4 linked regions of the Arabidopsis thaliana genome follow. The protein of the gene in region 4 purifies or fractionates together with the protein of the main gene of each other region. This does not show direct contact. Each region holds a gene or a part of one and is shown on either strand. Other genes may lie near its edges.

Region 1 (4,275 bases), about 19 Mb from region 4:
AAGCAACATCAAATTTTATATGTAAAGATGAGACAAGATATTAGCTAAGCTTACAAAAAGGAAGTGAAAAATAAGAGAGGCAACCACAAAGAACACATAAAGAGATATACCTCACCGAAAGCACCCCGGCCAATGATGCTAAGCAGTTCAAAGTCATCAACCCCCATTTTCTGTCTTTGTAGACGCATATACTCCATTTCCTTTTTCTCAAAGTTCTTTAATATATCCATCTTGTCTTCAACAGTAACATCAGCATCAGCTAGGTTTTGTTCCAAGATGCTCCGACTGTATTCAAGAGCGAGCTGATATCAGAAGGTTCAATCTAAACCAGTAGCAGATTAATTCCTAAATCAGACCCAACCATCAGTACTAGAAAATAAGACTACTCTGAAGTTCCATTTGTAACAACTAAAGCACAAGAAGTAAATATTGGCATCACAAGAAGAATCCCGAGAACGTACCGCTCTTTTCTTTCCTGGAGACTCTTCTTCTGAATTTTATAATGATTCTCGATATATTGCTTCGCTGCAGCAACTTTCTGTTTAGTAGCATTAGATGGTGCATCATTCATAGGAGGTCTCCCAAGATTCTTCACATTTCCCTCTTGTCCCTTTTTAGTAGGGCTTGATTTATCCGGTTTCTGCTGCCGTATCTGGAACCAGCTCCTTGTAGGCTCCGTAGCCATTTCAATCCAATCTAATGCAAATCACTTCATAAAACCTGCAGAAAATCAAAACAAAATTCCAAAACCCAAATGCTTCAAAACTAAATCAAATTGATGACAAATTCTTGTCTAACAACGCTGGTCAACACCTAAAATCTCACCGTAAATTCCGGAAACAATATTAAAACTTTCACTTCCAAGTTAATTCCACACGAATCGATTTTAATCACTCTTGACATAGAGATACATATACATCTAGTTCTGGATTGTGGATTGCACGCATGCATTCGAATCAAAACTTGCTTATAATCAAATAGTTACAAACTCCAATTCCAAACAAGATACGCACAAACACCATGCGAGATTGAAGAAGAAGAAAAACGAAAAGTCAAACTATTCACAAAGAAAAAGTAAAACTCGATCGGGGAAGATGACAAATTTCGCGAAAGGATCAAAGAAACTTACATCAACAAAACAACAAATCAGAGAGATTTTGATTTTAGCTCTCGCTTCGAATTCGAACTGTTGCTTACACGCATTCACTTAAAACGGAATTTTTTTAATTAAAAGATCTCAAAAGGGAGAGCAAAAACGGATTACGAACTAATAACGTTTTTTGGGCAAAGCGTATTTTATCTTGAAGCAGTAAACGCCGTTTAAGTTACAGTCACGATGACTCGGTGGCTGATTAAAACCAATACTGGTAAACCGGCTTTTAACTATTCCCGGGTCATTTATTGGGGAAGCTAAATGACACGTGTCAGTAAATTGTTGGATTTGTTTGTCGACATAACGTGACAGCACGATTGAACGGAGTGGTTTGCTAACGTCATTAGAACAACTCCCGCGCGAATTGGATAAAAACGCGTTTTATTGGTAAGACAAGATTGTCACCGTCCGTATGTAGGAGACGTGTAAAGAGAAGCAGAGTGTCGAACTAATTGGGTCATCGAAAAGCCCATTGGGCCTAAAATAGATAACAATGAGTGTCAATTGTAACATTCAAAATGTATGGGGCTTTATGTACATCTTAAGGCGTCATATTTTTTTGGTTTTGATTATTCACACTTCAGTTTTCTTTATTTTGGAGTTAGACACGGATCTGTGAGATCTAGAAGAAGAAGAAGAAGAAGAAGCTAAGACAATGGCATCCATGGCAGGACCAGATCATCTCTTCAATTTGAGAAACCATTTCTACTTGGGTGCTTATCAAGCTGCGATCAACAACAGCGAGATCCCTAATCTTTCGCAGGAAGATATCGTCGAGCGAGACTGTCTCGTCCATCGCGCTTACATCGCTCTCGGAAGTTACCAGGTTTTGCTTCCGTCTCGTGTTTTTCGATTTGGATTTCAATTTGTTTTGATCATTTGCTGATTTACGTTTTTCAAATTTCGTCTTCGTAGCTTGTCATCAGTGAGATCGATGAAGCCGCTGCTACTCCTCTACAGGCAGTGAAACTCCTTGCTATGTATCTATCGAGTCCTGAAAACAAGGTAATTCAAGAGATTTTGAGATGTTTCAATTCATCTTCTGTAACGTTTGCTTAGCGGAATTTCAGATAACTTTAGTAGAATTCTAGGATTCTTTTGATGATTTAGCTTCAGAGATCCGGAATTGAATATATCTTGATCTTATTTTAGTGATCTGCATTGTTGAATACGTAGTTGTTTCTGTGATTTTGGTTAGGAATCAACCATTTCGAGCTTGAGGGAATGGTTGGCAGATCCAACTGTAGGAAACAATGCTATTATCAGGTTGATTGCTGGTACTATATTCATGCATGAGGAAGACTATAATGAGGCTCTGAAGCACACTCATTCTGGAGGAACCATGGATCTGTGAGCTTTTCGATTTGTTTTGTCTTGTCACAGCGATCTCTTTTCGTTTACTCGATAAATGATTGTTGTTTCTGCATATTTTAGGCATGCTTTGAATGTCCAGATATTCATAAAGATGCACAGATCAGATTTTGCGGAGAAACAACTGAGAGTGATGCAACAGATTGATGAAGACCACACACTCACTCAGCTCGCGAGCGCGTGGTTGAATCTGGCAGTAGTATGATATGAATATCCATTTCTTTTTTCCATATAGTGTAGAGAAGTTTGTTAATGTGTTTCTTAATATGAAATTGTTCTTTATGATCTCAGGGTGGTTCCAAGATACAGGAAGCTTATCTAATCTTCCAGGATTTCTCTGAGAAGTACCCAATGACAAGCTTGATCTTGAACGGCAAAGCAGTTTGCTGCATGCATATGGGTAATTTTGAAGAAGCTGAGACTCTACTACTTGAAGCACTCAACAAGGTGAGTGATGAACCTACTCTTTCTTTCCTTAAATCTGTATCGACACAACCCATTCTCAATATCATGTCATCGGAAATGCTCACTCGATTTAAATCTATGAGGATACTTGAAAACTCCTTACACCAAATCTAAACTTTTCAACTATTCCGTTTATTATAAAATGGACAAGTTTGAAATCATAGATGTTTATTCTCATTGCAGGATGCTAAAGACCCAGAAACTCTTGCAAACCTCGTTGTATGCAGTCTTCACGTCGGGAAATCATCTTCTCGCTACCTAAAGTATAAATATTCATGACCTTTTGCATTTTCTGCATAACAACAAGTGCATCAGTAAGCTGACTTATTCCTCCATTTCCAATCCTTTTGCAGCCAGCTGAAACTTTCACATCCAGAACACGTCCTTGTGAAGCGAGCAGCATCAGCTGAAGATAACTTCGAGAGAGCACTTCAATCTTTCGCCTGAAGTACCTCAAAGTCCATGGAATCAATTTGCCTTATGATCTACCAGAAGAACATCATATTATTACCGACCCTATCTTGAAATTATCATAGATAAACAGTTTTTTCCATTGGATATGTTGCATTTTACTTTGATTTCTCACTGAAGCTTTTGTTTTCATTGAGTTTCGAATCCAACAGAACTACAGATCTTGTTCCTTGAAATCCAGAATCTCCATAACTGATGAGACAAAAGGCAGACTTTTGAAAACGAAACATTCGCTAATGTATGCAACACGGAGCTTAGATCTAAATTCCGCTTTACAAATTAAAAGCCAGGAATGCTATATATTATTAAGACTAATCAATAAATATTGTGAGAGGTACATATACTAATGAATGGCTGCTTCCTAAAAGAACCTAAAGCCATTACAAAATGAATATCAATCAAAAATCTCGTCATGTGATATCATTTTTTCATAATATGGATAATATATCTTGTGTTATATTTATATATAAACCATCATCATCTCCTACGCTTCTCTCCTCAATACCATCTGGAATCAAAATCTCCGTCCATCACCAAAGGAATGAACAAAGTCAGTAAACCGAGACCGATGAGGTTGTTAAGCCATAGCCATTACGGTGCAGCTTCTGCCATCTCCATGCAGTCTCAAGACTCTCTTTGAGATTAGTGTGCTTAGCTGTCCAGTTAAGTTCCTTCCTAATCTTGCTTGGATCACTGTAAACCTCAGCGTAATCACCTGCACGTCTAGGCAAATAGTCGATCTTGATCTCAACACCAGTTGCTTTCTTGCACGCCTCAACAAACTCTTTCACCGAGCTACCTACTCCACCCATACA
Region 2 (7,700 bases), on a different chromosome or scaffold from region 4:
GTTTCTGCTACTCAAATAAGAAAAGGAAACAATCAAAATTTCCTTTTTTCATTGAACAAACGTGTACTTATAAATACACCCCTTCTCTCTTCTTCCTTGAGAAAAGTCTCCATTCTCTCTTCTTCTTCCTGGAAACCTAAACCACGTAAGGATTTGCTCTGAATCTAAATATTGACGTGGAGAAGACGCGATCTTACTAATTCTCCATTCTCTGCTTCAACTTCACCGTAAGATTGAACAAACCTTTACTTATATATACCTCTTCTTTCTTGAGAAATCCAAATTCTCCATTCTCTCTTCTTCTTCCAAACCAAAACCTAATTCTCCATTCTCTGCTTCAACTTCACCGTAAGATTGATCGGTTGATAAAGCGGCTCTTTTTGGTGATTGATCTCTGTTGTGACTACATCTTAGGTCAATTCAGATTGCTTTCATATCAAGTCTCTCCTAATTTCACAAGATCAAAGATCCCGGCCATGGATTCAGTTGTCGACGGCGAAGGAGAACACAAACGACGACTAAGGATGCGAAAGTGGGAAAGAGGGATATAACGAAGACATGGACAATGAAAGCAACGAGCAGTATAGAACCAAATCAATGGATCATGATCTGTGTTTGGTACTAGGTGTTTCCTTGGCGTCGACGAGATCTTTTGAAAATCTTGTGTTTCGTCGATATCACAAGCAAAGGTATTTTCTTTTTTCCTTTTCTATTTTTAATGATTCATTTTTTACTAAATAAAAATTTATTTTTAGATTTTTTTATTAAGTGTTAAAATTTTCAATTTTGTGTAAATTAATTTAAATTTTTAACACTTGTTTTTGTTTTTATTAAAAACTGTTTTTAAACCTATATTTTTATACTACTATTAAAGTTTTAAGGTTTTTCTTATTAAATATTAAATTTTTAAATTTTGTGTAAACTAATTGGATACATCATCCAATCCCCTAAGAGGTGTTCTAGGTTCAATAGATGGTTTACACATCATTTAAATTTTTAACACTTGTTTTTTATATTTATTAAATAAATGTTTTTAAACCTAAATTTTTATACTACTATTAAAATTTGAAGTTTTTTTTTATTAAGTGTTGAATTTTTAAATTTTGTGTAAACTAATTGGATACATCATCCAAACCCCTAAGAGGTGTTCTAGGTTCAATATGGTTTACACATTATTTAAATTTTTAACACTTGTTTTTCTTATATCAAAAATATGTTTTAAACCTTTATTTTTATACTACTATTAAAGTTTTAAGTTTTTTTATTAAGTGTTAAATATTTAAATTTGTGTAAGCTAATTGGATACATCATCCAAACCCCTAAATAGTGTTCTAGTTTCAATATGGTTTACACATTATTTAAAGTTTTAACACTTGTTTTCCTTATATTAAAAAATGTTTTAAACCTATATTTTTCTATTACTATTAAGATCTTAAGTTTTTTTTTTAATTTTGTGTAAACTAATTGGATAAATCTTAACTCCTAAGAGGTTAGGTTCAATATGGTTTACATATAATTTAATTTTTCTTATATTAAAAAATGTTTCTATTTTTATTTTACTATTAAGATTTTAAATTTTTTTTTGTTAAGTGTAAAAAATTAAAATTTTGTGTAAACTAATTGAATATAACATTCAAACCTGTAAGAGGTGTTTATAGGTTCAATATGATTTATATATAATTTAAATAGTTTGCTATTTTGTTTAGAATCAAAATATTTTTAAATGACATGTTGTAATAATTGACCAAAAGAAATTAGTGTGTGATTTTGTTGAAATGCAGAGTACAAAGCCTTAATTTATACCAAGTTATGGTATCTATAACGTATATGAATACCAAAATTTTATTATTTTTAATTGGTGTTGTATTTTATAATTCGAAATAATTAGGGGAACGGGCAAAACCTCTCTGTTCTCTCGCTTATATTTTTTTTAGAGAGAAAGCAAATCAGTTTCAACGATCGGATATTTTCTGGTGTTAGCCGTCCTGACTTTTTGGGCTTTCTGTCCGATATCACCGGCTCTGGTAGCGGTGTTGGTTGGCTCTAGTCCGGCAGCGTCTTGTTCACATAACCGGTGGTTGCTGGCTCTTGGTTTCTCTCGTCGATGTAGATCGATTTTTAATCTGTGTTTTTTTATTTTCATGTTTTGTTTTTAATAATTCTCATCTGAGACATGTTGGTGATAGAGTGAATGCAATCTCGCTTTCTAATGCTTCTTATCCGATCTGTTCTTTTTTAAGTTTTGATTTACAGAAATTTTTGGAGAAATTTGAGAATGATGTTGAAGAAAAGAAGTGGATTCTGTTGTTAATTATCATAGCCTTAAGCTGTTGTATATTTAACATGAGCCTCGATTGCTTTTTATCGGTGAAAAAACAAAAAGATCCATGTTCTATGAGACTATCGACGGTGATTCTTTCACCGAAATCGGTGCTCAGACGGCGAAAATGAAGTCGGTTCGCTTTAGAGTACTCATCTGACACGTATATTAATATATCGACATGTGGTTTGGGATAGAGTCAAACTATAGTTTCTTCTTCTATGAAAGACTCTCTGTTGGCCTATTTGGTCCTAAATCGTTTCTGTAATCGCGGACTTTTCTTTAAGCTTTGACTATCTTGATTAATACAATATTTCTCTTGGGACAAAAAAAAAATAATCTTAGTATTTCTTTAATATTTTTTGTTTGGGTATGGGCTATTGGGCCGCTTCGAAAAGTTCACTTTCTCTATCGATCTCTCACAGTTTCTGAGTTCTCTGACTCAAAAACATATAGTAGAAGAAAACGATTAGAGATCTTCTTCTTTCTCCTGTTGCATCTGAAGATAAAGGAAACAGAAAGCGCGAGATCTGAGTGACGGAGTAATTTCAAAGGGAGGTTTTCGAGATCAGAAATGGCGCAACCCCTCGTGAAGAAAGACGATGATCACGACGATGAGTGTATGTGTTCTCTCTTAATCTCCTTATAATTTTCGAATCAGCTGGTTTTCTGCAAAATGTAGATCCAGATGTTAAGCTTCTAGATCTGTTATCATTCAACAGTCGTGATTGTGATTTGGTTGTGTAGATCTACAATCTCAAGTCCGATTTAGTTTTGTTTACCGCATTCGATCCCGGTGTGAATTGCTTTGCTTATTTCGATTTCTGATTTTTTGTTGGATCAGTGGAGTATTCTCCATTCATGGGAATTGAGAAAGGAGCGGTTCTTCAAGAGGCTAGAGTCTTTAATGACCCTCAGGTTGATCCTAGACGATGCTCCCAGGTCATTACGAAGCTTCTTTATTTGCTTAACCAAGGGGAGTCATTCACCAAGGTCAGTTAATTTTTTTGCTTATACTGATTCGATGTCATGCTTATGGAGAATTGAATTATTGTGTTCTTATCCTCTCGCGATGGTTGTTTGTTTCATATGCAGGTTGAAGCAACGGAAGTTTTCTTTTCAGTTACAAAGCTTTTTCAATCAAAAGACACGGGTTTGAGGAGAATGGTCTACTTGATCATTAAGGAGTTATCTCCATCATCTGATGAGGTCTGTAAATTTTACTCAATTTCAATACGAACATCGTCGCACTTATTGTAGGTATATTTTCTGATAAGTTGTTGGTTTTTTCGCCCATAGGTTATCATCGTAACAAGCTCTCTGATGAAGGATATGAATAGTAAAATTGATATGTATCGAGCAAATGCTATCCGTGTCCTCTGCCGGATAATAGACGGAACCCTTCTCACTCAGATTGAGCGATACTTGAAACAAGCCATTGTGGATAAGAATCCCGTTGTTTCAAGTGCAGCTTTAGTCAGTGGGCTTCACTTGCTCAAGGTACCTTTTACACACCAAAACTATTAGGTAGCTTCTTAATTGTAATGTTATGCTTATATTCGTATATTGCTGTTTTCAGACAAACCCAGAAATTGTTAAAAGATGGAGCAATGAAGTTCAAGAAGGTATTCAATCCAGATCAGCCCTTGTTCAGTTCCATGCCCTAGCTTTGCTCCATCAGGTTAGTTTGTTGCATTATTATCACCGAAGTCGATTGGTCTATGTTTCTACTCTTTGTTTAATTAAACAGCCACTGAGAAGAAGTATCTCGGAAAATGAGAGGTGTTACTATGTGTATTGGACTAGATTCATAAATAATAAGTTTTCTGTAGCAGCATCGTAGCTCTTTACTACGGCCTTTTCCAGCAATTTTAGTTTCTTGTGAGGTTTAATCTGTGTCTGGAGTCTGTCTCAGATACTGCTGATTCTAGCATATGTAACTAATTAGGTTGGTTAGGACAACCTATTTATGTGTCTAAGATGTACGAGTTACCAAATGATATGTATTGCTGCTGTTACGTTGATTTAAAATGACTCCCAACATGATACACTCTCAATCTTTGATCTAATAACTGTCAATCTTTGATCAACTTGATAATCTTTCATCATATTCAGATACGCCAAAATGATCGCTTGGCTGTTAGCAAATTGGTTGGTAGCTTGACCAGGGGATCTGTCCGCTCTCCCTTGGCTCAGTGTCTTTTGATACGTTACACCAGCCAGGTTATTCCTCTCTTCTGTTTGATCATTTGATAAGTGGCTGATTGTATATGTGTTATTTAGCTCTGGTTTCTAATATTCAGGTTATCCGTGACATGGCCAACCACGGTCAATCTGGAGAACGTCCGTTCTATGAATTTTTGGAGAGTTGCCTGCGCCATAAGGCAGAAATGGTGATCCTTGAGGCTGCCAGGGCAATTACTGAGCTTGATGGTGTGACAAGCCGAGAACTGACTCCAGCAATCACTGTTCTTCAGCTCTTTTTGAGTTCCCCCAGACCAGTGTTGAGATTTGCCGCTGTCCGGACTCTGAACAAGGTTTGCAATGCTTTCAACTGTTCTCTTTGTACATTGACACCGAAATGATGTTTTACTATTCTGGGTAGATTCATCATTACCTTTATCATGAGGATGAGGAGATATTTCACTGTATACTAAACACAAGTTTGAACCACAGGTTGCAATGACTCATCCTATGGCTGTCACCAACTGCAACATTGATATGGAGAGTTTAATCTCTGATCAAAATAGAAGCATTGCTACACTCGCAATAACCACACTATTGAAAACAGGGAACGAATCAAGTGTAGAACGTTTGATGAAGCAGATAACTAATTTTATGTCAGATATTGCTGATGAGTTCAAAATTGTGGTCGTGGACGCAATAAGATCGTTGTGTGTGAAATTCCCACTGAAATACAGATCCTTGTAAGTAAAGTTTTAGGGTTTGTTATTTGTAGTTTTGGTCTCGAGCATTTCTATTTTTTTGAATGATTAAATATGTTATGGTATCTTTTTAGCATTTGGCTTATGATTGATCTATCACCTTTTCATTTGTAGGATGACCTTCTTAAGCAACATTCTTAGGGAAGAAGGTGGATTTGAGTATAAAAGAGCAATAGTAGATTCTATTGTGACCATTATCAGAGATATTCCGGATGCAAAGGAAAGTGGACTGCTTCATCTATGTGAATTCATTGAAGATTGTGAATTCACATATCTTTCAACACAGGTAATTATTCCATCATCCATCTGGGGTTGCTATTAAAAACTTATGTGTTATTGAAATGTTTATTCTCGCACAGATCCTTCATTTTCTGGGAATTGAGGGGCCTAACACCTCAGATCCAAGCAAGTATATACGATATATATATAATCGTGTGCATCTAGAAAACGCCACTGTCCGGGCTGCTGCTGTTTCCACACTTGCAAAGTTTGGGTTTATGGTTGAATCCTTGAAGGTATAGTCATCATAACAACCATTATTTTTATTTTCCGTTTATCTTCTTTGACTGATGATAATGCTCGACAGCCCCGGATTACTGTTCTATTGAAGCGTTGCATCTATGACAGTGATGATGAGGTGCGTTCCTAGTCTTAGTCTAGAAAAGCATTGCTGTTTCTGTATGTCTGTTTGTTTTGAGTCGTTGCATCATCAAACATGCATGCATGTGTTTGCCTCTGTAAACATTTTCGGATGCATGCAATGCAAGTTGTTTGATGATTCCTTCCTTGCTCATGAGTCAGACATCTTTTTATCTTAAGGTCCGTGATAGGGCAACACTATATTTGAGTGTTCTTGGTGGTGATGGTACTGTTGACACTGATAAAGAGAGCAAGGATTTCCTATTTGGTTCCCTGGAGGTTCCTCTAGTCAACATGGAAACTAGTCTGAAGAATTATGTGAGTTAATCTATTTCTCGGTTTTCTCCTTTTCAATATTCTTAGGACATCAGTTATCTTATATCTGGGATTCCTGCAGGAGCCCTCTGAAGAAGCTTTTGATATCAACTCCGTACCTAAGGAAGTTAAATCTCAGCCCCTTGCAGAGAAGAAAGCCCAGGGTAAAAAGCCCACTGGTCTTGGTGCACCACCAGCTGCACCTGCTTCTGGTTTTGATGGCTATGAAAGACTTCTCTCATCCATTCCAGAGTTTGCCGCCTTTGGAAAACTTTTCAAGGTTAGGGGCTGATTTGTCTTCTGTGTTATTCTAATGTTAATGGCTTATCTTGTTTGCTTTAACTTGTACTTTCTTTTTCAGTCTTCTTTACCTGTGGAGCTAACTGAAGCAGAAACAGAATACGCTGTCAATGTTGTTAAGCATATCTTTGACAGTCATGTGGTGTTTCAGTACAACTGCACTAACACAATACCAGAGCAGTTGTTGGAGAGGGTACTGAACATTGGTGTAGAATATTAGTGTCAAGCATATCTTATCTTTCTTTCCTCATTTAATTAATTTGGCATGGGGTTGTAGGTCAATGTCATTGTAGATGCTTCAGAAGCTGAGGAATTCAGTGAAGTAACTTCAAAGGCCCTAAACTCACTTCCTTACGATTCACCCGGTCAAGCCTTTGTGGTTTTTGAGAAGCCAGCTGGGGTCCCTGCTGTTGGAAAGTTCTCCAACACATTGACTTTCGTTGTTAAGGAGGTACATGTTAAATAGGCTATTCACTTCCATCTTTTTATTTACTTACACTGAAAATGACCCCATAATACTTTGTGGAGAACTCTTATAAACAACGACTCATTTGGAGAGGAGTACCAGAACGACTCAAATTAATCACAGAAAACAAAGAAAACTCTCTAACTACATTGTTTGTGCTTTTATGAATGTGTTAAAACAGGTTGACCCAAGCACAGGTGAAGCAGAAGATGATGGAGTAGAAGATGAGTACCAGCTAGAGGATCTTGAGGTTGTAGCTGGAGATTACATGGTGAAAGTGGGTGTCTCCAATTTCAGGAATGCGTGGGAAAGCATGGATGAAGAAGATGAGCGTGTAGACGAATATGGCCTTGGCCAAAGAGAGAGTTTGGGAGAAGCTGTAAAGGCTGTCATGGATCTTCTTGGCATGCAGACTTGTGAGGTTAGTCTCTTCCACTTTTTTCTCATACTCTACTGAGACTTGAGGGCTAAAATTATTGTTGATAAAGTCTTTTTTGAGTATATGACCATTTGTTGTGTTCCTGAAATTGAAACTGACACTGGATAAATAACAGGGGACGGAGACAATTCCGCTCAATGCAAGGTCACACACGTGTCTATTGTCAGGTGTGTACATAGGCAACGTGAAAGTGTTAGTGAGGGCACAGTTTGGAATGGACAGCTCAAAGGACATTGCAATGAAGCTGACAGTTAGAGCTGAAGACGTTTCTGTCGC
Region 3 (6,915 bases), on a different chromosome or scaffold from region 4:
TGTTTTTTTTACGGCAACAAAGATATATCAAAACACAAATTGCAACACTAAAAATCATGTGTTTTATTGGTGCCTTATATAACAAATGAAACCTTACCCGAAAGGTTTAGCATATATGACATCCAGACAAGAGAAAACGTAATTCATCATTTTCGTTATCTAACATACAAGAATCAAAACAAGATTTCACATTAACAAAGATAAAGTGTACATAGTTGAGGAAAATAAAGGTAAAGATAAAGTGTAGACAATATTCAAAAGGGTGGTTGTCCAACAATGTTACCAGGAGGATCATAGTTACAAATAATAAATGTGTCACCGGTCTTGCAAAAACTGATTGCACACCCAATCCTCGAACTCTTCTTCCATACAAGTTGCGTGTAATGCAAACAATCCCCATTCGCCTTGCAGTGGGAAGTCCTCCGGTCATAGTATTTCATCTCCGAGGCCCATGCAGCCACCGCATCCCGTGGAGTCCAACCTTTTCCGCTTCCCCAGAAGAGATTCTCCCCGTAAGGTCCCCCGGAGTGGATAAGTTTGCAATCTCCACGGCGGGTTCTGGCCCACCGGCTCGCATAGAGGGCGAGGCTATTGCTCCATTTGAGAGGAGGGAGACGAAGCTTGGCTCGTAAGATGTTGTGTGGTCGGAGAAACTGCTGCTGAATGGTGTTGCGGGCTAGAGCTTTGTCTTGAGAAAAAATTAGTGTTGATGTTGTCGGTGTTCTGTTTGATGGGATTTGAAAAGAGAGAGAAGGAAGTGGAGTGCTGATAACTATGATAATGATGATGAATATCAGAGTTTTTTGTTCCATTGGGATGCTAAGTTAGATTTGTTTCTGAGCCTCTAGATCTAGCTAGTACGATCCTTACCATATATATATACACACACACACATAATTGTTTATGCTTTCATATTTGTACGTATATATCATCTAACGAATCTAAACACATGCTATGTTAATAATGCGCAATGACAAGTGCTAATCATTTCGGTGGAACATTGATTATTTGTAGGGAATGATTTTATTCAAACAAAGCATACATTATTGAGCTAATTAATAGATCATTATATATGAAGGAAGTTTTAATAGGATGTTTTCTTTTTTTCTTGTAAGAAGAGACTTTATCATAGCAACGAGAATATATCCCAAGCATAAAACATTATATACAAACTCATTCAAATGAAAACCTAAGTTAGATATTTAATTTGACCACTCTTAAAATACTTGTTTAGTTATAACATGTTTACTATGCAGATTTATGAGGCGTATCAGATGGTGTGCTAGAGAACGTGATACAAATTTGGATGCCTTGTTTTCAAGAAATCTTATACATTCCTTGGAGATCAATTTGTATTGTGAGGCTTATAGTCATTGAGCTTACCGTTGATTAACTAAATTTATATTATATAGAACATCAAATAGACGAAAAAAATCAATTTAGTTGACCACCGTTTGTTAGCTAGGTTATAAACTCTGACCCAAAGTGTCCTATGCTTTCAGTATTCAGTTTATTTTATAACGTGTGGGGTCGTTTTGGAAACAATTAAAACAATAGGGGCTATATTTTTCTCAAGTTCTGTTGGACTGGGCTTGTCGTTAATCAATATTTGGGCTTTTGAGGTTGACTCGCTTTTTTCCGTTCTTCGTTTTCCAAAATCAAACCCAAAAGGATTTGGAGGAGTTAATTCACCTGACGAATCCACCACCATAATATTAAGCACATTTGATCTCTCACTTCCTTGGTGCGAGTGTTTTGTTTTCCGAGATCCAAAATCTTCTCTTGGATCCAAAGCTGTGTTACTGTGGATCTCCTCCTCCTCTCTCCCTGGATCTCGTACCTTTGAGGTTTGTCTCTCTGTGTTAAACTTGCGACTCAGATTTCATAGAGATCGATCCCACTTTTGCCTTTTCCTTTGTGAAAATCTACAATGTTCAATTATTCTCTGGCGCTCTTTGTTTGATCTCGTTGAATATTGATCTGATTCCGGTAGGAAACCGATTTTCATGTTTGTGCAGCTGAGTGAGACTGCGAATTATGTAGATTTCATTGTTTGTTCATCTAATCTGGGGAGATAGATCGCATTTTTTTTTTTTTTGAATTTTGGTTGATCCGAAGCTGTTTTAACTGATTTTTCGTTTTTATGTTATTATTTTGGTCGTAGTTGTAGTACAGTGATGTGTATTGCTGGATCTGAGGATTTAGATTTGTCAATGTTTTGCATCTTTGGGTCTCTGATTGGACATTACCGAATATTCTTCTGAAATTATGATGTTTTCTCATAAACCACGGATTCGAGAATAGAGATCATGTATTCAATGTATTGAAATCCAAGCAGAGAGGTATGGATTATCGCCGATGATACTGTTGAACTTCTTGTATAGAACTTACTCTAGCACTGATGAGGACACTAGTAAGGTGCTTATATTCAGTAATTCGAACTTGAAATCGCCAGAAATATTAAAAGTTTTGATATCTTGTTTTTACTTGTGATCTATACTTCATTATGTCTTTAATCAATTGTAACAATTTTGCTCTATTCATCTTCTATTTCTTATATTAACAAAGGAACACTTGTTCGTGAATGGTTTTTCCTTTTCATTTGAGCTCACAGATTTTTTTCTCTTTCACTTTTTGTGCAGCACCGGAGAAGATGGACAAATCTAGTACCATGCTTGTTCACTATGACAAAGGGACTCCAGCAGTTGCTAATGAGATTAAAGAAGCTCTCGAAGGAAATGATGTTGAAGCTAAAGTTGATGCCATGAAGAAGGCAATTATGCTTTTGCTGAATGGTGAAACCATTCCTCAGCTTTTCATAACCATTATAAGATATGTGCTACCTTCTGAGGACCACACAATCCAAAAGCTTCTGTTGCTGTACCTGGAGCTGATTGAAAAGACTGATTCTAAGGGGAAGGTGTTACCTGAAATGATTTTGATATGCCAGAATCTTCGTAATAACCTTCAGCATCCTAATGAGTACATCCGTGGAGTGACACTGAGGTTTCTCTGCCGGATGAAGGAGACTGAAATTGTGGAGCCTTTAACTCCATCAGTGTTACAAAATCTGGAGCATCGCCATCCATTTGTTCGCAGGAATGCCATTCTGGCCATCATGTCGATATATAAGCTTCCACAAGGCGACCAACTCTTTGTGGATGCGCCTGAAATGATCGAGAAAGTTCTATCAACCGAACAAGATCCTTCTGCCAAGAGAAATGCATTTCTAATGCTCTTTACCTGTGCTGAAGAACGTGCAGTGAATTATCTTCTGAGCAATGTTGACAAGGTTTCAGACTGGAATGAATCACTTCAGATGGTGGTGCTGGAGTTGATTCGAAGTGTGTGTAAGACTAAACCAGCAGAGAAGGGGAAATATATTAAGATTATTATTTCTCTGTTAAGTGCTACTTCTTCTGCAGTTATCTATGAATGTGCTGGGACACTTGTTTCTCTCTCATCTGCCCCTACTGCGATTCGGGCTGCTGCCAACACCTACTGCCAACTTCTTCTTTCTCAGAGTGACAACAATGTGAAGCTTATTTTACTCGATCGGTTGTATGAGCTTAAGACATTGCACAGAGATATCATGGTTGAGTTGATAATAGATGTGCTCAGAGCACTCTCAAGCCCAAACCTTGATATCCGCAGGAAGACGCTTGACATTTCCCTTGACTTGATTACCCATCATAATATCAATGAGGTCGTTCAAATGTTGAAGAAAGAAGTTGTGAAGACACAGAGTGGAGAACTTGAGAAGAATGGGGAGTACAGACAAATGCTTATTCAAGCCATCCACGCTTGTGCAGTGAAGTTCCCCGAAGTTGCAAGCACAGTGGTCCACCTTCTGATGGACTTCTTGGGAGATAGCAATGTGGCTTCAGCTCTTGACGTGGTTGTTTTTGTTAGAGAGATAATAGAAACAAATCCCAAGTTAAGAGTTTCAATCATCACAAGGTTATTGGACACGTTCTATCAGATCCGAGCAGGAAAGGTCTGCCCTTGTGCCCTTTGGATAATTGGGGAGTATTGCCTATCACTTTCGGAAGTTGAGAGTGGCATTTCAACTATCACGCAATGCCTTGGCGAATTACCATTTTACTCTGTTTCTGAGGAGTCTGAGCCAACTGAGACATCAAAGAAGATTCAGCCTACCTCTTCTGCCATGGTGTCCTCTAGAAAGCCAGTGATTCTTGCTGATGGAACTTATGCTACCCAAAGCGCAGCCTCTGAAACCACATTCTCCTCACCTACAGTTGTTCAAGGATCACTGACTTCTGGAAATTTGAGAGCACTGCTACTAACTGGTGATTTTTTCCTCGGAGCAGTGGTTGCTTGCACGTTGACCAAACTTGTTCTTAGGTTAGAAGAGGTTCAGTCTTCTAAAACTGAAGTAAATAAGACAGTCACACAGGCTTTGTTGATCATGGTTTCTATGTTGCAACTTGGGCAATCTCCTGTTTCTCCACACCCTATTGATAATGATTCGTATGAGAGGATTGTGTTGTGCATAAAATTGCTTTGCCATAGGAATGATGAGATGAAAAAGATATGGTTAGAATCCTGCCGCCAGAGTTTTGTCAAGATGATTTCTGAAAAACAGCTTAGAGAGATGGAGGAACTGAAGGCGAAGACCCAAACAACGCATGCTCAACCTGATGATCTAATTGACTTCTTCCATCTAAAGAGTCGGAAGGTATTATTACTTCCTAAGCTTCCCTTTGCTTTATTGGGTTTTTTTTTCCATATGAGTTTTCCTTTTCAATCTGTTCAGTTCTGTTACGTTGGTGTCTACTTTTTCTTACAGTTCATATCCAATTTTTTTTTTCGCATTCTCAAAGAAAGTTCGAAAGTTGATAGTGGCATGTTATGTTTATTTATTTCGGTCAGTAGTTGAAATTACTGACGATAAGTTTCTTTCAGGGAATGAGTCAACTTGAGTTGGAAGACCAAGTACAAGATGACCTAAAGCGTGCAACTGGAGAATTCACCAAGGACGAGAACGATGCTAACAAACTTAACCGCATTCTTCAACTCACAGGATTCAGTGACCCAGTCTATGCTGAAGCATATGTGACGGTACACCATTATGATATTGCTCTTGAAGTTACAGTAATCAACCGAACCAAGGAAACCCTTCAGAACTTGTGCTTGGAGTTAGCAACCATGGGTGATCTCAAACTTGTTGAGCGTCCTCAGAACTACAGTCTGGCACCTGAAAGAAGCATGCAGATTAAAGCAAACATCAAGGTGTCGTCCACAGAGACGGGAGTCATATTCGGGAACATCGTCTATGAGACATCAAATGTAATGGAGCGAAACGTCGTTGTTCTTAATGACATACACATTGATATCATGGACTATATCTCCCCTGCTGTGTGTTCAGAGGTTGCTTTCAGAACTATGTGGGCAGAGTTCGAATGGGAAAACAAGGTAATTTATTGAAACCTTTTATAGTTGTACCTTCTTTTCGTATGTTTGTTGGAGTTTGGTATAACCAATTCCTGTTGTATTCTTTATGTCAGGTTGCTGTGAACACCACAATACAAAACGAAAGAGAATTCCTCGACCACATTATCAAATCTACAAACATGAAATGTCTCACTGCTCCGTAAGTGTAAATTCTTCTTTCATCCTGTAGAAACGAAAAACTCTTCTTACTAATTAATACTTCTTTACTTGCAGATCCGCAATAGAAGGCGAATGTGGATTCCTTGCAGCAAACTTATACGCAAAAAGTGTATTTGGTGAGGATGCTCTTGTGAATGTGAGTATTGAGAAGCAAACGGATGGAGCATTGAGTGGTTACATAAGGATAAGGAGCAAGACGCAAGGGATTGCCCTAAGTCTTGGGGACAAAATCACCCTCAAACAAAAGGGTAGTAGCTGAGGTTAGCTAATCTTTTCAAAACATATTCTATTTCTCGATTAATACATGTTTTAATCCTTAAACCGCAATTGGTCTAAATTTCAGTACCATACCGATGATTTCTCACAGTGGCGTGCAAAGGTAACAGGTTTAGACTACGTACGTTTCTCTTGAGCAATTATCGTTGGTTGAATCTGCTTATTATATGGAGGGAGGAGGCGTTCAAGGGTATATGTAAAAAGAGTAATTGGCTATCGTTCTTACTTAACCGGTATATTTTCTGGTATGGTACCGATGGATTTCTTCATCTCATATGGCAGTGTGTTTTTTACTGTACTAGACGATTTTGTTTTATTTGTAATGCTTTTTCTTCTATAATGTCGTTTGTTGAGGACTTTAAACCGTGAACTTTATGATATTGTAGATTTCAAAGCTACATTTGGTTTGCTCCATTTTAGAACTCGTCATTTCAGATTTGATCTCTATTCTTTTCTTTCATATGCATTTGAAGTGAACTATTCAATTGTCAAAGCTAGACTTTAATTTGCTAGTAGCTATATAATACGGGTTATGTTAGCAAGTAAGTTGTAATGAAACGCATGTATTAATATGGACCATATTCAAAATCTACAAGCCAAAGAAACCAATTGCTTCACAACCAAACCCATAACATTTGATTCTTACAGCCTTTTCTATTCTCAAGAAAACCAAGCAATAATTTTTAAGCAAAATTTAATAATCTTAAATCACTTGCCTCAAGGTACCAAGGGACGATCACATACACATTCGCGTAACTAGATATCGCTAACATCATTAGACAAGAAAATACTAGACGCGAGTAGAAGAGGAAAGATCCAAATACATCATCTTCTATCATAAAATCATCCATCTCTAACCGAAAGTTGGAGCACGTTTCAAGGAAAAACTGACATAATTCCTAATTACGCTCACTTTTAAAAGTTTGGGGTCGTTTTGGAAACAATAAAAAAGTAGGGGCTATGCTTTCTCAACTTCTATTGGACTGGGCTTGTCAACAATCAATA
Region 4 (7,908 bases):
TATGTGCAGATGGCAAAAGGATATTTTGGTGCAGCGACATCTTATAATCAATTGATAACCACAAATGCTATAAGGCTGATGCGGTTCCTTCACTAATCTTACCCCACTGTTCTTCAGACTCGTTACCATTAACTAGCACAGCACCATCCGTAGAGTCAGCGTCCACCACAACAGCCTCTTCTTCCACATTCTGCTGTCTCCCATCACTACTCTCTTCCTGACGATCCTCCTCCTCCTCTTCCTCTCCATCTTCCCCCTCTTCCCCAACCTGTTCACAACAAATGAAGCAGCGACAGTAGAATTAATGATCCTACCATTGTCCACCATGGCCAAGACCATTGGATTGGATATCATGGGTAAAAGACAATCCTCTTCAATGCATGTAATGTAAACATGCATACCTCGTCGAGAACATCCCCTTGCTCAAGTCGACCCTCTTCCTCTATTTGCATAATTCTAAAAGCATCCACTAAAGTTGTATGATCTCTGTCTGCATGACTACAATAATCCCCAGCAGGAGGATGGACGCCCCTGCAAGATAAGTCAACAAAAATACTTTGTTTATGAGGATCCTGAAAAAATGAAATCGACATTCGGCTTATGTTTATACGGGTATAAATTCAAATTATAAGCAAATACATGACGGCTACCTTGCTATGTAATACAGACACATGACTCTAAATGGCTTAAGTCCCACAATTCAATTAAAAAGGTTTCCTCATAAGCACTGTTTTTAAGAATAAGCTAATGACGGCAACGACGAAAAGATACCTCGTCTCTGCAGCTCTATTTTCAAGGGACAGGGCGACTTGCCACTCCTCAAAGAGATTGGGATACTCTTCGGGATCAGCCAGAGATTCAGCAGCCTTTGGACTTATCTATATCCAGATTGACAGAGGATGAAGAAAAATTGTGGATATCTCAACAGGCAAGGTTTGAAATTCAATCACAAGGTGCATCGGATGTGTCTACCACTAACCTTGGTCAAATCGTTTCTCCACAATGCCACTATTTCGGAGACCTTGCTTGGAAGGTACGATCTCGCCATCAGAGCGGCTTCAGGTATTCGATTACTGTAACCATATTAATATCAGCATAGACGTAATTAGTTGCGGGAATATATGTTCCACATGTAAGAAATAGTAAACAATGTACCTTTCCACCAACAGATGCAGGCAGTCTTCTACTTGACCCAACATGAACAAGCAAAGAAAAGCGACATTGTTCTTTCCTTGCTCTTTTGCAAGTGCTGCCAGCTTCATCATTCCATCTGCATCTCCCAATGAAGAATAAAGCAGCAGCAGACCACTCAAATCCATAGCATGCCTCATGCATTCCTCAGCCATATCCAGCTAAGTAGTCCAAGCATGGGAAGGAAAATGAAAAGAAAAATACATGTTAGCTTTAACCTTTGTAAGAATCCTAGAACACTGATTGCAGCTAAAAAATGGTCACCTTCCCACTTGACATAGCTAATTCTCCAAGTTGCTTCCATTTAGATTCATTTTGTGCCTCTACAGCAATGTCCTGTCAAAAAATAAGAATCGAGTAAAAACATATCGGTAAGTCATGGAAATAAAGCTTCTCAAATGGTAAAAACTACAGACTAACCTTTGCGACAGCCAATCTACCGAGCTGTATGGCCAACTCAAATCTGTAGTCAGGATCAGTTGCTACTTCTAGAGCATCTTCTGTCATGCCACGTGACTCCAAAAAGTGTGCCACGCTGACAAAACGAACAGGATTTTGAAGTCGAGAATCAGAAAAGTAGGAATGCGTGAATTTAGGAAAACAATTTAAACCATTATGTGACCTTGGATACATGTTTACTAACACCATAATCCAGCTGTAACCATAATGCGAGGGAAAGCACATTCTCATACCTATTATGGTGCTCCTTAGGAATTGAAGGTAAGACTTCATTAGCCTGTTCCAAATCTCCACGCATCACAAGAGTCTTGTACTCAATCAAACTTAAAAGTAAAGTGTATCCAATAACACTGTAATCATAAAGTGGACACAGAAGTCAGTAAGTTACAAAACATTGTTAGCAATCATAACAGTAAAACATCTGCTTACTTGAACTCTTTGTCAATCAAATAAACCCTGCTTTGATTAGCGAGATAACCCAACAAGTACATAGGACGGTCCAGATGATACATTGTAGTTACCTGTAATATAAGAGGAGTACTGAATCTCAATTACAACAAAATAAAAAACATAAAACGTTTCTTTCCAAAAACCTAGAAATGAGCCTTACCTCACCACCAACACAGTAATTAAGCCTCCAAGAAGAGTTGGTATAGATAAAACAATCCCCAACCCATAAGCCAGTCCGAACACGTTCATTGGTTTCATTGAGAAGCTCAAATGCGTCCTCAATGCCTTCCTCATCAATTTGTTTACCGCCATCAAAATAAGAGGAAACAATGTCACGCTACAGCAGAACAGTAAGAAAACAGCTTAAAACCATGTCTCGAACAGCAACAGTACTAGGAAAATAAACTAAGGAAATGTACAAGAGTTCTGGCTCACTACCAAGGTTTAAAAAAGATCCTCACATTGAACTTAAGGATGTAGAATGATGTATCACTGGCAATTGCAACTAGATCACCACTGTCCGCCCAATAAAGATTCTGAAACATTGAATAAACAAAAACGTTAAAAGTGAATAAGCGAGCAGTACCAATCTGCTTTTGCGTTTAAATTTCAGATAAGGAACTCTTTTGTATTTCTCCAATAAAAATATTACTGAAAACGTAACCTATAAACTATTTTCTTGTAGAAACTAATGGATCTACTTCTGGTATATAAGCACTTACTTTGACAGTAACATCTATTCGCCTAATCAACCTACATTCCGCCCAATCATAGAAGCATATAAAATCACTTGAGCACATTGTCAATAACGTCCCACCAAAAATGTGCTCTGCTGAGAAGGTGGGTCTCACAGTCTTCTTTTCCTGCAAATTAAACAAGGGTATCAGCATAGGTTAGTGTATTTCAGATAACAGAATAAGACACAAAAAACAAAAGCTTTAGAGTTAATCAGTCGGAAAAGGAACGTGCCAAAAGGAATTACAAACCTGGAAATTCTTGCTGAAGATCTTGATCTTTGTCGAGCTTTCCCTGACAGCATGCTCCCCATCAGATGACCAAACAAATTCTAGCGCAGAGCCAAATGACCTATTTCGCCACGCCAAGGCAGTGTAGATAATATACTCACCATCTCCACAAACTACCACAAACCTACCATTAGGGTTGTGCTTCAAGCTCTGAAAAAGCAAAAAATTAAATAATAGAAACATAAATGACAGTGGGTAGTCACAAAATTAATAAATGATTTAAGGTCATATTTCTTACTAATACCAGTAATCTATCAAACTGCCCAAAAATAAATAACTAGAAGCAGGAAGCAGCAATTCAAGAAAAACATTAGCACTACATATCCAATATATCTTCCATAAATGTAGAAATGACAATCCAGAGATACAAAACCACATTTCCTTCATTGTTTAAAGGGAGTAACAATTATACAATAAGAAGGATGCCACTTACTTGAGGATAAAGATCGCAGGTCCCTAGCTCTTTAACGGCCAAAGGAAGTCTCTCACCATCAGTGACCTAAGTAGGCTCAGAACCAAATGATAAACATTGCCAAACATGAGCTAATTTTCAAATACACAAGGCAACAATGTAAAAGTGTTAAACCCCAAACCTCATCTGCGCCCACACTCTTGATGTTTACAGTATGTATCTCATTGTGTTTAGCCCAAATAATTTTTCCGCTGTTATCCATACTAGCCACTGGTATTTCACGGCCAAGTTTCACCATTATGGATCCTTCGTCATAACCAATTACAACCCTGGAAAAAGACAAGGTATTGCCATCTCGTAAGTTATGAAGGAAACATAAATTTACACAAAGAAATAATTATGATGTGAAGATATATATCTTTAATAGGGAATAAATATTGACATAGTAAAAGATCAGAAACTTACCGGCGTGAACCTTTAATGTGTCCAATAGCCCAAACCCTCTCAAGGCCATAGTTCAATGTATTCTCAAGCCTAGATGTCAAGTATTAAGTAAAAAACTGTTGGATGAAGATTTTTGAAAAATTGAAGGAAGTTTTTAAAGACAAAATCAATAGCAGCTCCAATGCAGACAGCATACGAGTTACCTGTAAGTGGTGGCGTGCCATATGCGAACAGTTCCATCCTCGGATCCTGTAATAATTATAGGTAGCTCTGGATGAAAAGATACTGCAGAAACATTGTGTGTATGACCTTCGAGAGTCTGAACGCAACTCTTTGTTTGGTAATCCCACACCTGCTTCCAGAAGAAATTTATGAACAATATACAAACAGAAAACCCTGCACGAACCTATATACAAACAATACAAATGGAGATACATACAAGCACACATATGTAGCAAACAACTTGCAAAGAAGCAAGAAAGCTCAGTACAGACCTTAGCAGTATGATCATCAGAACCAGTGATTAGGTATGGTTTATCCCCACCAGTAAAGTAGTCTACACAGTTTACCCCTTTGAGATGTGCATCCAAAGTAAAATTTGGATCCGGAGAGCCAAGATTCCATATCTAGGTAAGAAAAGATGTAGATACAGGAAAACAAATGTTAAGCTTCTCATAATGGGAAATTGGGAATGAAAGAAGAAGGTGTAACTTAAAAGTTGAAGACTAATCTTACTTTTATGGTACGGTCAAGGGATGCACTAGCAAAAGTATTGGTGTCTTTGGGGTTGAAAGTGACTTGCATAACATAATGGGAATGGCCTTCGAAAATTTGAGTGCAAAGCCAACCCTTTTCCCAGTCCCAGAGCTTGATGAGCATATCATCAGATGATGATAAGACATAGGGAAGCGTGGGATGAACAGCAACACAGCGAATGTAATCAGCATGAGCCTCAAATACTTTGATCTTATCCATAGTGTTGTAGTTGTAGACACGAATAAACATGTCATCAGCTCCAGCTACAACCCACTGCTTCCGTGCAATGAACTTTGCTGACCGAACTGCACAACACCAGGACAGAGATTCAACAAATGATGTGCGAAAGAATAAGAAGGAACAATGAGATGCTATATATCATACCAGGCAATTCAGTCACGTCGAAAGATTTTACCATTGTCTGCAAAAGTCATATTTGGGTTAACAATAATCAGAAGGGAGCACAAAATATAAGAGTGAAGACCAACAGATAGAAAGTAAGATAAAAGCAAGAGATGATACTAACCTGGGTCTGGTAATTCCAGATGCACAGAGTTCCGGAATACAAACTTGCCAGGATCCTGAAACAATCTATGGATTAGTACTTGTTTCCTTAACGATATATAAAGCAATGAAGAATGAATGCGCTCAAATTACCATGGCTCTGTTGGATGGAGATCTACAGATTTGACTCTTTCTGATCTTTGAGCAAACTTACGCTGATCAAAACAAAGAAGCGTGTCAATACAGTCCCGAATAAGAATGATTAAGGATGAAATCGAGCATCAAAGGAGACTGCATTACCTTGATTTCGAGTCTCAGTGGCTGTCAACAAAAGAAGCAAACACTTAGGTTAGTGCCGAAGAGAGAAACAAAAAAAAAAATAGCTCGTACAAAAATACTTGATGATATTCTGAGAAACCAAAACACGGCATAGTAGAAAATATCGTTCGATTTAGGGGATGACTGAAGGAACATCAAATTTTAGTGCAATGAGGAACACTCTTACGTAGACTAGCCCAGAAATGAGATTTCAAGTAAAAAATTGAAAGAGGATTCAGAGGTAGATCTATGGAGAAACTGAGAGATCATGTCACTCACCATCTTTGCAAGTCCAAACGAATGTCTGAACCGGAGATCGGATTATCGACGGAAATGGCCCCTGATCGCAGGGGGGATCAGAGATGACGAAGAAGAAGAAGCGCAGTGGTGGTGATCCCACTTCCAGTGCGCGTTGGCGATTTGGATCTGAATCTGGGTCTAGTAGGATCTCTAATTCGACGTCGTTTTATCACGCGTTTTTGCTCTTTTTTTTAACTTGACCGCACCGTATATAGGAGATGTTACATTTTGACGGACGGCCCTTTTTACTTGTTAGTACACAGTAATTTTCCCCCCCAAAAAACAGTAAATTGGAAGGATTCAATTGGTGGTAAAAGAGTATGATGAATGAGACACTGGTTTTAAAACACACAAAGCTGCACCAAGTAGAGGATAGAAGAGAAAATCCAGTATAAACAAAAAAAAGAAGCAACATGAAATCAATAACCTATTCGAGTCTAATGTTTTTTTCATACAAAAGAACAAATTGAAACGTATTCCAAAGTCTTAGTATTTGAAGTCACTAAAAATTGCAGTCAGAGTTGGTGCACCAGTGTCCAACATTGTTGCTTGGCTAGCTGAACTTCCTTTCGCCCATTCTACTCCTCTGATTTCATCTCTGTACATCACAATTGTTAAGAGTACTAGGCTCTACTAGGCTCTACGAGTCGCGCTGCTAACCCACAAGAATCTTCATCACTTGTTCTTTCACCAATCTTCAAACCCCTGCAGCAGCAGCATAGGCAGCCAAATTTAATTTCATGTTAAGTCAGTCTTGAGAAAGTAAAAGGTAAAGATATGCTTGTTCACACAGAGAGATTTCAAGAAAGAATGATCATCTTACTTGAGTGGAAGCGATCCATAGGGATCTCTCGCTGTTCGCGTTTAATGCACAAGTACTCAGCTAGCAAAGCCATAACAGCGAGTCCGGTTCCATTAACAACCCACCACGCCATAGAGGAAGGCCATCCTCCATACATGATGCAAAAGAAGAGATGTATGATGTAGAGAGTTGCAGAGAAATCTAAGCATTTCCGTGCTCGCTCCACCAAAAATATCATGTACACAGCCCTGCCAATTAAAATGAATACAAGGAATCTGAAAAGACTAGTAATAAAGAGGGAAATAAATGGATGGATACTATTACTAGGGGGCAAAGCAAAATACCCAGCGAGTGAAGAGAAGAGGAATGAGGCAATAACAGACCAACCGGTGAAGGTGGAAGTAGTGAGAGTAGCGTAATCGAAGAAGTAGACAAGACTAAGGCGAGGAACACGAAGGCCAAGAAAGACCATGGTGAAGAGTCCAAGAGTGAGATAGTAAGAGCATTGGAGGCAAATAATCTGGCCAACGATAAGCCAAGGGTCCCATACAGCTGTGCCATAGAACATGGCTGCTGCAGCAAATTGATACACCAAAATTTAAGTGTCCCTATATCAAAATTCCCTATATCTCTACCTAAACAAAAACTCTGCTGCAATAATCAAATACACAGCTAACGAGATCTAGGAAATCCCTAGTTTCGATTTACATCCTCAATTACAGATCAATTCGGAAAACCCACCTAAGATCACGGAAGGCTAGATTCGCGAAAGGGAGAAATCAAACCGGATCCGATGAATTGGCGCAGCTAGAGATGCACCAACGACGCCAGATCGATAATTCTCCAACGATTCAGCCAAGTTCCTTCCGAGAGCATGGAAACGCAGCAAAAGCACTTTTTCAGAGAGAGAGAAACCTCGACGAGGTCTTGGTGGTAACGAGCGACCAGAAAACAGAAAGAAGAAAGAGGAAAGAAGAAGTTTTGGCTTACCATGTTGTTCATGATATAAGTAACAAGAATGACCGCATAGCGCAGTGGATTAGCGCGTTTGACTTCGGATCAAAAGGTCGTGGGTTCGACTCCCACTGTGGTCGACTTTTTTTCCTTTTTCTTTTTTTTTTGCAACTTAGCTTTTCTTTCCAATATTGTGTTTCAATCATTCTTGTATCCCAAAATAGAATAAAAGATGCCCTATCGATAATATCCATTTTTATTCAGCAACGTGAGCCACTAAAACAATTGATATA

The links.
Region 1: the proteins of AT1G79990 (region 4) and AT1G30630 fractionate together in Arabidopsis thaliana (co-fractionation; one large-scale study listed by BioGRID). This does not show direct contact.
Region 2: the proteins of AT1G79990 (region 4) and AT4G34450 fractionate together in Arabidopsis thaliana (co-fractionation; one large-scale study listed by BioGRID). This does not show direct contact.
Region 3: the proteins of AT1G79990 (region 4) and AT4G31480 fractionate together in Arabidopsis thaliana (co-fractionation; one large-scale study listed by BioGRID). This does not show direct contact.

Annotation. Positions count from the first base shown.
Region 1 is NC_003070.9:10,857,707-10,861,981, reverse strand, and holds AT1G30630 (Coatomer epsilon subunit), read left to right. Parts: upstream 1-1,659; 5' UTR 1,660-1,808; coding exon 1,809-1,979; intron 1,980-2,068; coding exon 2,069-2,158; intron 2,159-2,351; coding exon 2,352-2,503; intron 2,504-2,587; coding exon 2,588-2,723; intron 2,724-2,815; coding exon 2,816-2,971; intron 2,972-3,172; coding exon 3,173-3,252; intron 3,253-3,342; coding exon 3,343-3,436; 3' UTR 3,437-3,750; downstream 3,751-4,275. Other genes in the region: AT1G30640 (Protein kinase family protein), read right to left, coding at 111-285, 462-685; MUR4 (NAD(P)-binding Rossmann-fold superfamily protein), read right to left, coding at 4,012-4,259. UniProt on the Arabidopsis thaliana protein: The coatomer is a cytosolic protein complex that binds to dilysine motifs and reversibly associates with Golgi non-clathrin-coated vesicles, which further mediate biosynthetic protein transport from the ER, via the Golgi up to the trans Golgi network.
Region 2 is NC_003075.7:16,469,062-16,476,761, forward strand, and holds the start of AT4G34450 (coatomer gamma-2 subunit, putative / gamma-2 coat protein, putative / gamma-2 COP), read left to right. Parts: upstream 1-1,674; 5' UTR 1,675-2,894; coding exon 2,895-2,940; intron 2,941-3,164; coding exon 3,165-3,313; intron 3,314-3,415; coding exon 3,416-3,529; intron 3,530-3,619; coding exon 3,620-3,820; intron 3,821-3,899; coding exon 3,900-4,001; intron 4,002-4,435; coding exon 4,436-4,543; intron 4,544-4,623; coding exon 4,624-4,857; intron 4,858-4,996; coding exon 4,997-5,247; intron 5,248-5,379; coding exon 5,380-5,551; intron 5,552-5,624; coding exon 5,625-5,780; intron 5,781-5,851; coding exon 5,852-5,902; intron 5,903-6,084; coding exon 6,085-6,222; intron 6,223-6,301; coding exon 6,302-6,499; intron 6,500-6,580; coding exon 6,581-6,712; intron 6,713-6,796; coding exon 6,797-6,970; intron 6,971-7,166; coding exon 7,167-7,406; intron 7,407-7,539; coding exon 7,540-7,700. UniProt on the Arabidopsis thaliana protein: The coatomer is a cytosolic protein complex that binds to dilysine motifs and reversibly associates with Golgi non-clathrin-coated vesicles, which further mediate biosynthetic protein transport from the ER, via the Golgi up to the trans Golgi network.
Region 3 is NC_003075.7:15,261,492-15,268,406, forward strand, and holds AT4G31480 (Coatomer, beta subunit), read left to right. Parts: upstream 1-1,662; 5' UTR 1,663-2,584; coding exon 2,585-4,699; intron 4,700-4,926; coding exon 4,927-5,436; intron 5,437-5,528; coding exon 5,529-5,614; intron 5,615-5,688; coding exon 5,689-5,893; 3' UTR 5,894-5,894; intron 5,895-5,977; 3' UTR 5,978-6,400; downstream 6,401-6,915. Other genes in the region: AT4G31470 (CAP (Cysteine-rich secretory proteins, Antigen 5, and Pathogenesis-related 1 protein) superfamily protein), read right to left, coding at 255-812. UniProt on the Arabidopsis thaliana protein: The coatomer is a cytosolic protein complex that binds to dilysine motifs and reversibly associates with Golgi non-clathrin-coated vesicles, which further mediate biosynthetic protein transport from the ER, via the Golgi up to the trans Golgi network.
Region 4 is NC_003070.9:30,083,843-30,091,750, reverse strand, and holds the start of AT1G79990 (coatomer subunit beta-2), read right to left. Parts: upstream 6,002-7,908; 5' UTR 5,842-6,001; coding exon 5,839-5,841; intron 5,720-5,838; exon of another isoform or gene 5,583-5,719; intron 5,563-5,582; coding exon 5,542-5,562; intron 5,457-5,541; coding exon 5,395-5,456; intron 5,319-5,394; coding exon 5,264-5,318; intron 5,159-5,263; coding exon 5,122-5,158; intron 5,043-5,121; coding exon 4,717-5,042; intron 4,608-4,716; coding exon 4,476-4,607; intron 4,334-4,475; coding exon 4,185-4,333; intron 4,072-4,184; coding exon 4,003-4,071; intron 3,867-4,002; coding exon 3,719-3,866; intron 3,625-3,718; coding exon 3,559-3,624; intron 3,276-3,558; coding exon 3,087-3,275; intron 2,964-3,086; coding exon 2,823-2,963; intron 2,637-2,822; coding exon 2,562-2,636; intron 2,438-2,561; coding exon 2,261-2,437; intron 2,172-2,260; coding exon 2,080-2,171; intron 2,001-2,079; coding exon 1,884-2,000; intron 1,727-1,883; coding exon 1,612-1,726; intron 1,528-1,611; and 12 more. Other genes in the region: AT1G79985 (structural molecules protein), read right to left, coding at 6,557-6,564, 6,683-6,909, 7,006-7,229. UniProt on the Arabidopsis thaliana protein: The coatomer is a cytosolic protein complex that binds to dilysine motifs and reversibly associates with Golgi non-clathrin-coated vesicles, which further mediate biosynthetic protein transport from the ER, via the Golgi up to the trans Golgi network.